2 linked regions of the Coturnix japonica genome follow. The main gene of each other region encodes a partner of the protein of the gene in region 2 in a complex. Links are inferred from orthologs where the notes say so. Each region holds a gene or a part of one and is shown on either strand. Other genes may lie near its edges.

Evidence for each region.
Region 1: the proteins of DBF4 (region 2) and CDC7 are in contact, whole or in part, in a crystal structure (PDB 6YA8), measured with the Homo sapiens proteins. The link is inferred for Coturnix japonica from reciprocal best matches to the Homo sapiens genes DBF4 and CDC7. Residues at the interface, in NP_006707.1 of Homo sapiens: Thr210, Arg211, Thr212, Gly213, Arg214, Leu215, Lys217, Pro218, Phe219, Val220, Lys221, Val222, Glu223, Asp224, Met225, Ser226, Gln227, Leu228, Tyr229, Arg230, Pro231, Phe232, Tyr233, Leu234, Leu236, Met239, Pro240, Ile242, Asn243, Tyr244; in NP_001127891.1 of Homo sapiens: Asn56, Val57, Phe58, Ala77, Gln78, Leu79, Gln80, Ile87, Ile93, Pro94, Thr95, Ser96, His97, Pro98, Ile99, Arg100, Ile101, Ala102, Leu105, Gln106, Thr109, Lys121, Tyr122, Cys123, Phe124, Arg125, Asn127, Asp128, Val130, Leu143.

The regions. Positions count from the first base shown.
Region 1 is NC_029523.1:12,584,241-12,588,053, forward strand, and holds part of CDC7 (cell division cycle 7-related protein kinase), read right to left. Parts: intron 3,142-3,813; coding exon 2,963-3,141; intron 1,720-2,962; coding exon 1,637-1,719; intron 1-1,636. UniProt on the Homo sapiens protein: Kinase involved in initiation of DNA replication. Phosphorylates critical substrates that regulate the G1/S phase transition and initiation of DNA replication, such as MCM proteins and CLASPIN.
Region 2 is NC_029517.1:18,953,826-18,958,274, forward strand, and holds the start of DBF4 (protein DBF4 homolog A), read left to right. Parts: upstream 1-1,642; 5' UTR 1,643-1,711; coding exon 1,712-1,757; intron 1,758-2,325; exon of another isoform or gene 2,326-2,439; intron 2,440-3,590; coding exon 3,591-3,769; intron 3,770-4,449. Other genes in the region: SLC25A40 (solute carrier family 25 member 40), read right to left, coding at 2-36. UniProt on the Homo sapiens protein: Regulatory subunit for CDC7 which activates its kinase activity thereby playing a central role in DNA replication and cell proliferation. Required for progression of S phase.

The sequences.
Region 1 (3,813 bases), on a different chromosome or scaffold from region 2:
CAAAATCACGATTCCTCTCTGTGCATTTGCCTAGTGGTTAGTATCCAGCTAGAGAGGGATGCCATCTTAACGGGAAACTAAGGAACAAATCAAGTTAAAAATTGTAACTGGATCTGCTTAGGGCCAAGTTGTAGGTTTGGGTTGTGTTCTCTGTGCTTTAAACATGGCTCAGTTACTTAAGGTAGCTCTGGACAGCCAGCTGGATCCAGCTGATAACTTGGTCCTGGCACAAAGACCAAAACTAGTAGCAAGATTGGCAGGAGTACAAGGAGGTGACTACAGCAGTCCCAGATGTTATTGGGTAAGGAGATTTGTTAGCTCAAGTACAGCATTATCTCTATTAGTATTACTCTACCCGGTTCTAATGAAGCACTTTGTTGACGTATTACAGAAGCTTTGCACCACTGACTCAGTACCTTTAGGGCCACACCCAAGGGTTTCCAGATCTACCCATATTTTCTGTAGTCCTGCCCTCCATTACCCTAGAGAACAGAGAACTGTCTGAAAGCACACTTAAGACAACCCTCTGTCCAAGATTTCTTAAGTATGTCTTCTTTCTGCATAAATTCTGTCTAGACGGATTCAGGGATTGTCTAAACTTATCCTGGATTTCTGGATGTTTTCTAGCTCATAAAGCTGGCTGTTACTGCACAGGCACGGTGACTCCAAGTAGGCTGCCATACCTCTTGAAATCCCAGCCATGCCCACAACACAGATCCTGCCTCAAATAGCATTAAGCTATCAATTGATATGCTGATCAAACGTATTGTAAGGCTGCTCTGAGTGTGTATGAGAACTTTCAAATGCTGTAAATTGACTATATGCTCACAAAGTGCTAAGCAAAAAGATGGCTATAAACTTATTTTAAATACAAATTCTGAGAACATTTGTATTTATCCTTCATTTTCATAATCAAAACTTCTGGTCATACGTGACACATTGAACTTTGTATCAGCCCTCTAATTCTTCATGTATGCACAGCTTCTCCCAGCCTACTTGCATCACCTACGGCATTAATCATCCCTTAGTTCTTCTCCAATATTTACCAGGCTACTGAAACATGTAGGTTTTAGCCCTGAGAAACTAAAAATCTTAGTAAGAAAAAATCATGACATTTACAGATCATCTATTTAAAGCATTAGCAAAAAGGAAAAAAAAAAATCCAGTGAAAAGTCCCAATTAACTGACACACATCATAAAAAACATAAAAAACTGCACTGATACAATTAGTTATGCCCAAGACAGCAAAATACACGTGTCAAACTGTCTAGAAAGCATACCCCTCTAAGATTTATTTAAGATTTTTCTTGAATAAATAAGCCAGTGAGCCAAGAAACTTGATAAAACTTACAACTTTGTTTTCTTTTAAAACACGTGCTATTGAACTCCTGCGTATGGCAGTACCCCTCAAAGGGATACAGACATTCAAATTTCAAACATGGGAAAATATTCCTCGATCCTTCTTATTCGGAGTAATTAACTTCAAATTAAATTTGGGAAATGGTTCATAAATGTTAGAAGGGATAAGAAAATGAATTTCATGTGTAACAGCCTGGTATACAAAAGATAAAGTCAATGCGTAAGTGACAGGTTTAAGAAAAAGAAAGGCATTTAGTTTTTGTCTGCTATGTTGTACCTGTTGTCTGAGTGGGGCACTTTGTCAGTACTTCTGGTGCTCTGAATCCAGGTGTTCCTGCTCTGGGAGCAACTTGCTGACACCTTGTAGTAAGAGACAAATATGTTCAGAATATCCATATTGAGAAATAAATTCTAATTATAACAATATCTACTATTTTTACAATATACTTTTGTGAGATATGTAAATCTGCCCTATTCAGTTTTTATGTCTGAAATATCTTACAATTACCTAACATATAATTATTACTTCATATGAAATAACCTTATTATAATTACCTATTATATTACTGATCTTGTTATAATGTGTAGAAGGAGTATTTACTGCATATTTCAGTCACAATATTTTCAGTTTTATTCAATGACAACACGTGTTTTCATAGGGAACTTTCAAGTTAAGACTAATTAACCAATGGTAAAAAATGCATTAGTTTCTTGGGTGTGCACAGTATGGCTTTTTATTAATCCAGAGCAAACTAAGATTCACTATTTCTGAGTGTTGACAAGAATTTACTTCTTGTTAGATTAACTAAAAAGTGTGAGATCGTTATTAAAAATGTATAGAAGGTCCAAAGTGCTTTCTGTCTGCAGGCCAAGTTTCTTGAGTCTAGCAAATTCCCCATGTTTCATTTCTGAACTGACTTTGATAACATCATATTTTGACAGTCAGGAAAGAGAAGTACCACAGTTTCATGACTACGCCTACCAAGCAGATTTCTCTGCAGGAATTTCTGTTCCCTAAGTGGACAGGAAAGGTAAGGGTAGATCATAGCCAAAATGAACTACAAAGGACTGGATTTGAACTGAGTTATTTAGACTCTCTGGCCTATCCACTATTAAAATGTTTCAAATTGAGAAATGCAGCACTGTTATCTTCCCCTTTTATTCTACATTTCATGATTTCCAGAATACAGACAGCCTGGGGAATGTATTTAGCCTTAAGTTCTCAGAAAGCAAGAGTCCAATCACTGAATTTCAATGCAGTTGGCATAATTTAGGCCTATTAGATCAATGACAGATTATTTTCTACTCTTGTTTTGTAACTAACTGAGGTTATTTTCTACAACACATATTGATAATGCAAATAATTCAACACAACAGCAACAGAAAATCATAACAGTGAATCTCTTGCTGCAAATAGCACTGAACCAATGACTCCACAAATTCCATGAACTGTTCCTTTTAAAGAGCTCACTTAGTGTCATAAGGGCTGCACAGATCAAATGCTGTCTTTCACCTACTAAATCAGCTGTCTGGTTAATTCAAGCTTTTTGAACTTGTTTGGCAGCATAGTAAGCAATTTTACAGCATTGTTGAAGCAAATTACCTTGAAAGGCAAACACTGCAAACTCTGTCCGTTGCGTAACAGTTACAGGTCAGGTTTGATGGACAACCACTGGCAGCCTTCCTGCCCAGCCCATTGCTCATGGCTTTGGTAGAAATAATCTTCTTCTTTGTTACTAACTTCCTAGATGAAACATCGATCACCTTTGATTGTTTAAAGAGCTGCAAAACAGATATTTTTTCAGAAGATGAAATATTTAAGCTTCCTGTTACATACAGATACCTGTCTTGAAAGTACTGAAGACTCATCGGCAAGGAGCTCCAATTTTTAAAACAGAAGACAGCAAATCTTTCTCCTAAATCATAACATCAACAAAAGGTACTTCGTATTTTAGTGGTTACAAAAATTAATATCCAGTAGATATTTTGAAGCTTCAAGTTGTGTTTTTTTTTCAAGTTAGTATAATTTTTCAAGCATTCTTTTGATTCAATTATCAGTACAAAAAATAAATAAGTGTATGAAACAGTTAATGCCACAACAACAAAGTGGTACTAGTTTTAATTCTACAATAAGATGATTGTTGTTAGATAAGCCTTCTGTTCGGGTTTTTCTCCATGTCACAATAATTCCTAACAGCAAAATGAAAACGTTTATTACGTGTTTGTTTTCTCCACAGCTTCAGTTGCATCATAACAAGCTATGGTTTCATGAACTAGGGATACCTTGGTGGAAAGGTACATGTGTAGGAAAGATACTAACTAGCATACAAAGAAGATGAGCTGGGAAGACAGGTACATAACACCTCCTGAGAAGTTTCAAAAGGGACTGAAACAAATGAGAAAAACTCTTCAAGCCTTTCAGTGAAGTCACACTTAATAATCTGTATTCTTAAT
Region 2 (4,449 bases):
CCTTACCTTTTGCTGCAACAAAGGGCTTAGGAGCATGTCAATGATCTGTACAAAGGTAAATGTCCTGCCTGCAGCCCACAGACTGCAGCAGAGCAGAGCACTTCATCCAGACCCCCCTCTTGCTTCTGTCGTTCCTAAGAGAAAATCCAGAGAGGTCTCCTGGTGAATCCAAATCACAGCTTGTTGGTAATGGCTTCTTGAGCAAGCTCCTCAAACAACGAGCAGTGACTGTCTGACATTAACGTTGCCAGTAAATATTAATTCCTTTACCAAATCCTGCTGTGCAATTTCATAGGCAAGGACTCAATACCTTAGAAATGTAAGCAGAGATCTAGAAATAAGGAGGTAAAATAAATCTAGGCAGAAGAAAAAAAGAAGAGCCAAACAAACCAATTTTCAGGACATAAAATCCCCAAATGACAAAAAACATGAGTGGAGGGGACCCACAGGGATCACTGAGCCCAGCTTCTGGCTCCACGCAGGACAACCTAAAAAACTAATTTGATGGCTGAGGGCCATACCTTTGAAAATGCACATAGATTAAGTTAGTGCAGTTGTGACCTCCTTAGTTTGTATTGATCAAAGTTTTCTATTTGTTCAATAGGACAGGCTGGAAAGTTGGATGAAGAGGAACCTGATGAGGTTCAACAATGGTATGTGCAGAGTCCTGCACCTGGGGAGGACTAACCTCACGCTTCTATACAAGTTAGGGGCTGACCTGCTGGAGAGGAGCTCTGCAGAGTAAATAAAACTCAGATGTCCTGGTGGACAACAGGTTGGCCATGGGCTAGCAGTGTGCCTTCGTGGCCAAGAAGGCCAGTAGTATCCTAGGATGCATTAAAAAGAGCACGGCCAGCAGGGCAAGGGAGGGGATCCTCCCCCTCTACTGTGTCCTGGTGAGGCCACACCTGGAATGCTGTGTCCAGTTCTGGGCTCCTCAGTCCAGGAAACTTCTAGAGAGTCCAAGAGAAGGCTGCAAAGATGACTGGGAGCATCTCCCTGATTCTGGGATTGCCCAAGGGATGCCTGGGGACGAGGAGCATTTTATCATTGTTTACAAATACCTAAAAGTGAGGGAGTCAAACAGATGGGGCCGGGCTCTTTCTAGTGGTGCCGTCAGGACAATAGCAACGGGCTGAATGACCTCCAGAATTCCCTTCCGTGATTCTGTGAATGTCTTACTGCGTTCCTCGAGTTTAAAGCAAAAGATAAGGCGACTGAGCGGCGCATACCACAACTCACCCCCCACACGCCGCCATACTAACGTCTCCCCACACACTCTGAGGACCCCGCGGGGTCGGAGGCAGCCCCCCCTGTCACAGCACCTCTTCCCGTGTAAGCCTGGCGCCCAGCGCCCTGTGAGGTGAGGCAGCGCCCCTACGCATCCTTCCCGCCCTCGCGGTGGTTTCTTTTCCCCTTCCGTCCCCCGGTTCCCCCCTCACCCCGCCTGCCGGTGCCTTCCCGCCCACCCTCCGTGCGGGGCGGGGCAGGCTGCGCACGCTGCGGGCCGTTGGCAGCGCGGGCCGAGGCGGGCGCCTGTGGGCCGGGGAGCACCGAGGTTCGGCCTCGTCCTGCCGGGAGGAGAAGCGAGGCGGAGGGACGAGAGGTGAAGAGAGGGGACGGCCGGGCGGGGCTGGCGGCTGAGGGAGGCGTAACGGCGGTGTGTGCCCGCAGGGCTCCCGGCTGGAGGAGGATGTGAGGCTGCAGAAAGATGAAACCCAGCGCCGCACAGGTCGCCAATAAAGGAGCTCGTCCCCGTAAGTAGCGGGGCCTGCGGCCGGCTTCATTAGCGCGCCGCTCTTCCCTCTCGGTGATTTTGCCTTTTCGCTTCATCTGGTGTCGGGACTCGATCGTTAAAAGCCTAATATTGGAGGGATGTGAGCTGGCTGCCATCAGGCCCTGCCCCGCGCGGCCCTTCCGCCCCTATAGAAACTGCTTTCATCGCGGTATTGCGAAGTGCAGGCGTTGTGTTACTCCTAGCGAGTTCGGTGCGCCTTTTTCAGTGGGAATTGCAGTAGTTTTCGAGGTGCTGTGGCCGTCACTTATACGTGCTGGGTGTAACACGCTGTTTGATCCCTGCAGAATTTCTCTTACCTGCCCGCTCACCTGTGGCTCCAGACTTCATCCTTCTCTCTTCAGCTTCCACACGAATTACACTGTCCAAAGCCTCCATGTTTCCTATTTATCTGCTTCTTCTGGTTTCTCAGATACTACTGAATTAACTGCTCTTCCTGCTTTGCTTCTATGTGCTCATAACCACTACTGGGAGAATACAGCAGCAGTATTGGCTTTGCTTCCTCCTTCTGAGGCAGTTTCAGAGGAGAGAATGCACGGCAGAGTGACTGTTTTGACTCCAGAAGATTCCCACACACTCCCTGCAACAGGCCTCTGGCCTTACTGAACTTGTCCAAAGGAGAAGTAACCAGGCTCTGGCCTAAGGTCAGTCAGGACAAAAGCTGTGTAAAACTACCAATATGGCAGGCTTGGATCATTGAGCCTCCATCACAGGTTGTAAAAGGAGTCCTGTAATGAATGCAAGTAGGAACAGTCAGTCACGCTTCAGTGCATTTAGGATCCCTCAAAGTAATTTTTAAAATTTGCTTATTTTAAATGTCTATTCTGACAGACCTGAGTGGATAGTTCTAATTTGATCATCAGGCTTTTAGTTCAAGTACCTGAAGGGGGCCTACAGGAAAGCTGGGGAGGGATTCTTTGTAAGGACGTGTAGTGAGAGGATAAGGGAAAATGGCTGTAAACTGGAGGAGTTTACTTGATTTAGGCTAGATATCAGGGAGAGAAATTCCTTACTGTGAGGGTGGTGAGACACTGGAACAGGTTGCCCAATAAGGTTGTGGGTGCCTCCTCCCTGGAAGCATTCAAGGCCGGGCTGGATGGGGCTGTGAGCAGCCTGGTCTAGAGGGAGGTGACCCTGACTATAGCAGGAAGATGGGAACTGGATGATCTTAAAGGTCTCTTCCTACCCAAACCATTCTGTGATCCATTCTGTTATTCAATTGCTGTGTGTTATCTCTTATTTTAAGAGAAAAATTGACCAGGACAGAAAGGATGGTCATAACTAGAATGATTCTGGAACTTGAAGCAGACTTCCTCAGTCTCAGATGGGTGCTCAAAAATTAGATAAACAGGGGGATCTTCCTATTTTTTTAATGTTACACTGGCTTTTGATTTGTTTTTGTTCTGTTGCTTCTATACGAATCTTCCTTTTTTCCTAGTTGAAAAGGAGAGAGGCTGTTCTTTTTCCTCCTAAATAGTGTTCTTGTGATAATCACTGTCTGTACAAGTAGTGTATGTGCTGTGGGGATGGAAAATGCTTAACAAAGAGGATGAGAAAATGGATGGCATTGTATGGCAACTGAAATAAAAAGTCCATTTTAGTGCATGATTTAAAAAAAAAACACTTTTAAGAGCTCTTTGTTATTATATATGTCTTGTTTTTGACATGTTTAACATGTAGCTCTTTAATAAATGTCTTTTATTACATGGAAGCTTAACTTCTTTCATATTTAAAAAGAGGAGAACCCACATTTTGTAGAATATAATTCTTCTAAAATTGTCTTCTCTTTTGGCAGCAGATGAAATGCAAGCAAAAACAGAAAAGGTAAAATCTTCTCTGAAGAATGTGAAAAAAGAAGTAGGAAAAGCAGAGAAACTGAAATATAAACCACTCACTGGGAAAGTGTTTTACCTCGATATTCCATCAAATGTGATCTCCGAAAAAATAGGGAAGGATCTTAAAGAATTAGGAGGGGTAAGTTCATGTTCAAAGTGCCCAATGAAACTGAAAGAAAACCTGCAGCTGGGATGTCTCTCCATGTACTGTGCTGCTGTGTTTTAATGTTACATTTATTTTAGATGTGAAGGGATTTTATTTTTTTCATGTCATTTTAGTGTTTAGTATAGATCATCGGCTTATCAAGAAGTTGGTTTTGTGGGGTTTTTGTTTTTACTAGGAGCTGTTCTTCTGTGTGTAGCAGAAGTTTTTATCACAGAGGTTCATTTTCAGCTGATGGTTCGTTTACTTAGTTTTTTATCCAAGTGCTGTAAGTTTGTGTTTGAAGCAAAGTGTTTCTGCAACCTTGGAGTATTTTGACACATGTAAACATGTTATAGCTAAAGTTCTTCTGATGAACCCGAAAGAGGTTAGAGGAAGTGTTTTGCATATGTTTATGGAAAGTCTCGTGTTCTTTTAGCTTGGTTTGGGGTATTTGTTAAGGTTGTCTTTTACTTGAATGATCTGATGGAGTTTGTATGCATTTAATCGAATCATATATAAGATAGCATTTCTTAGATTTTCTAATACATTTTGTGTTTAGAGGCTACTTAACTAAAAGTATAATGGGAAAGTGGTTTGGCTTATTTTTTTTTCTCAAGTACGGGCTGAGGCTTATAAAGGCTGAGCTGGAGTACTGTCACCTAGCAGAGGGAGGA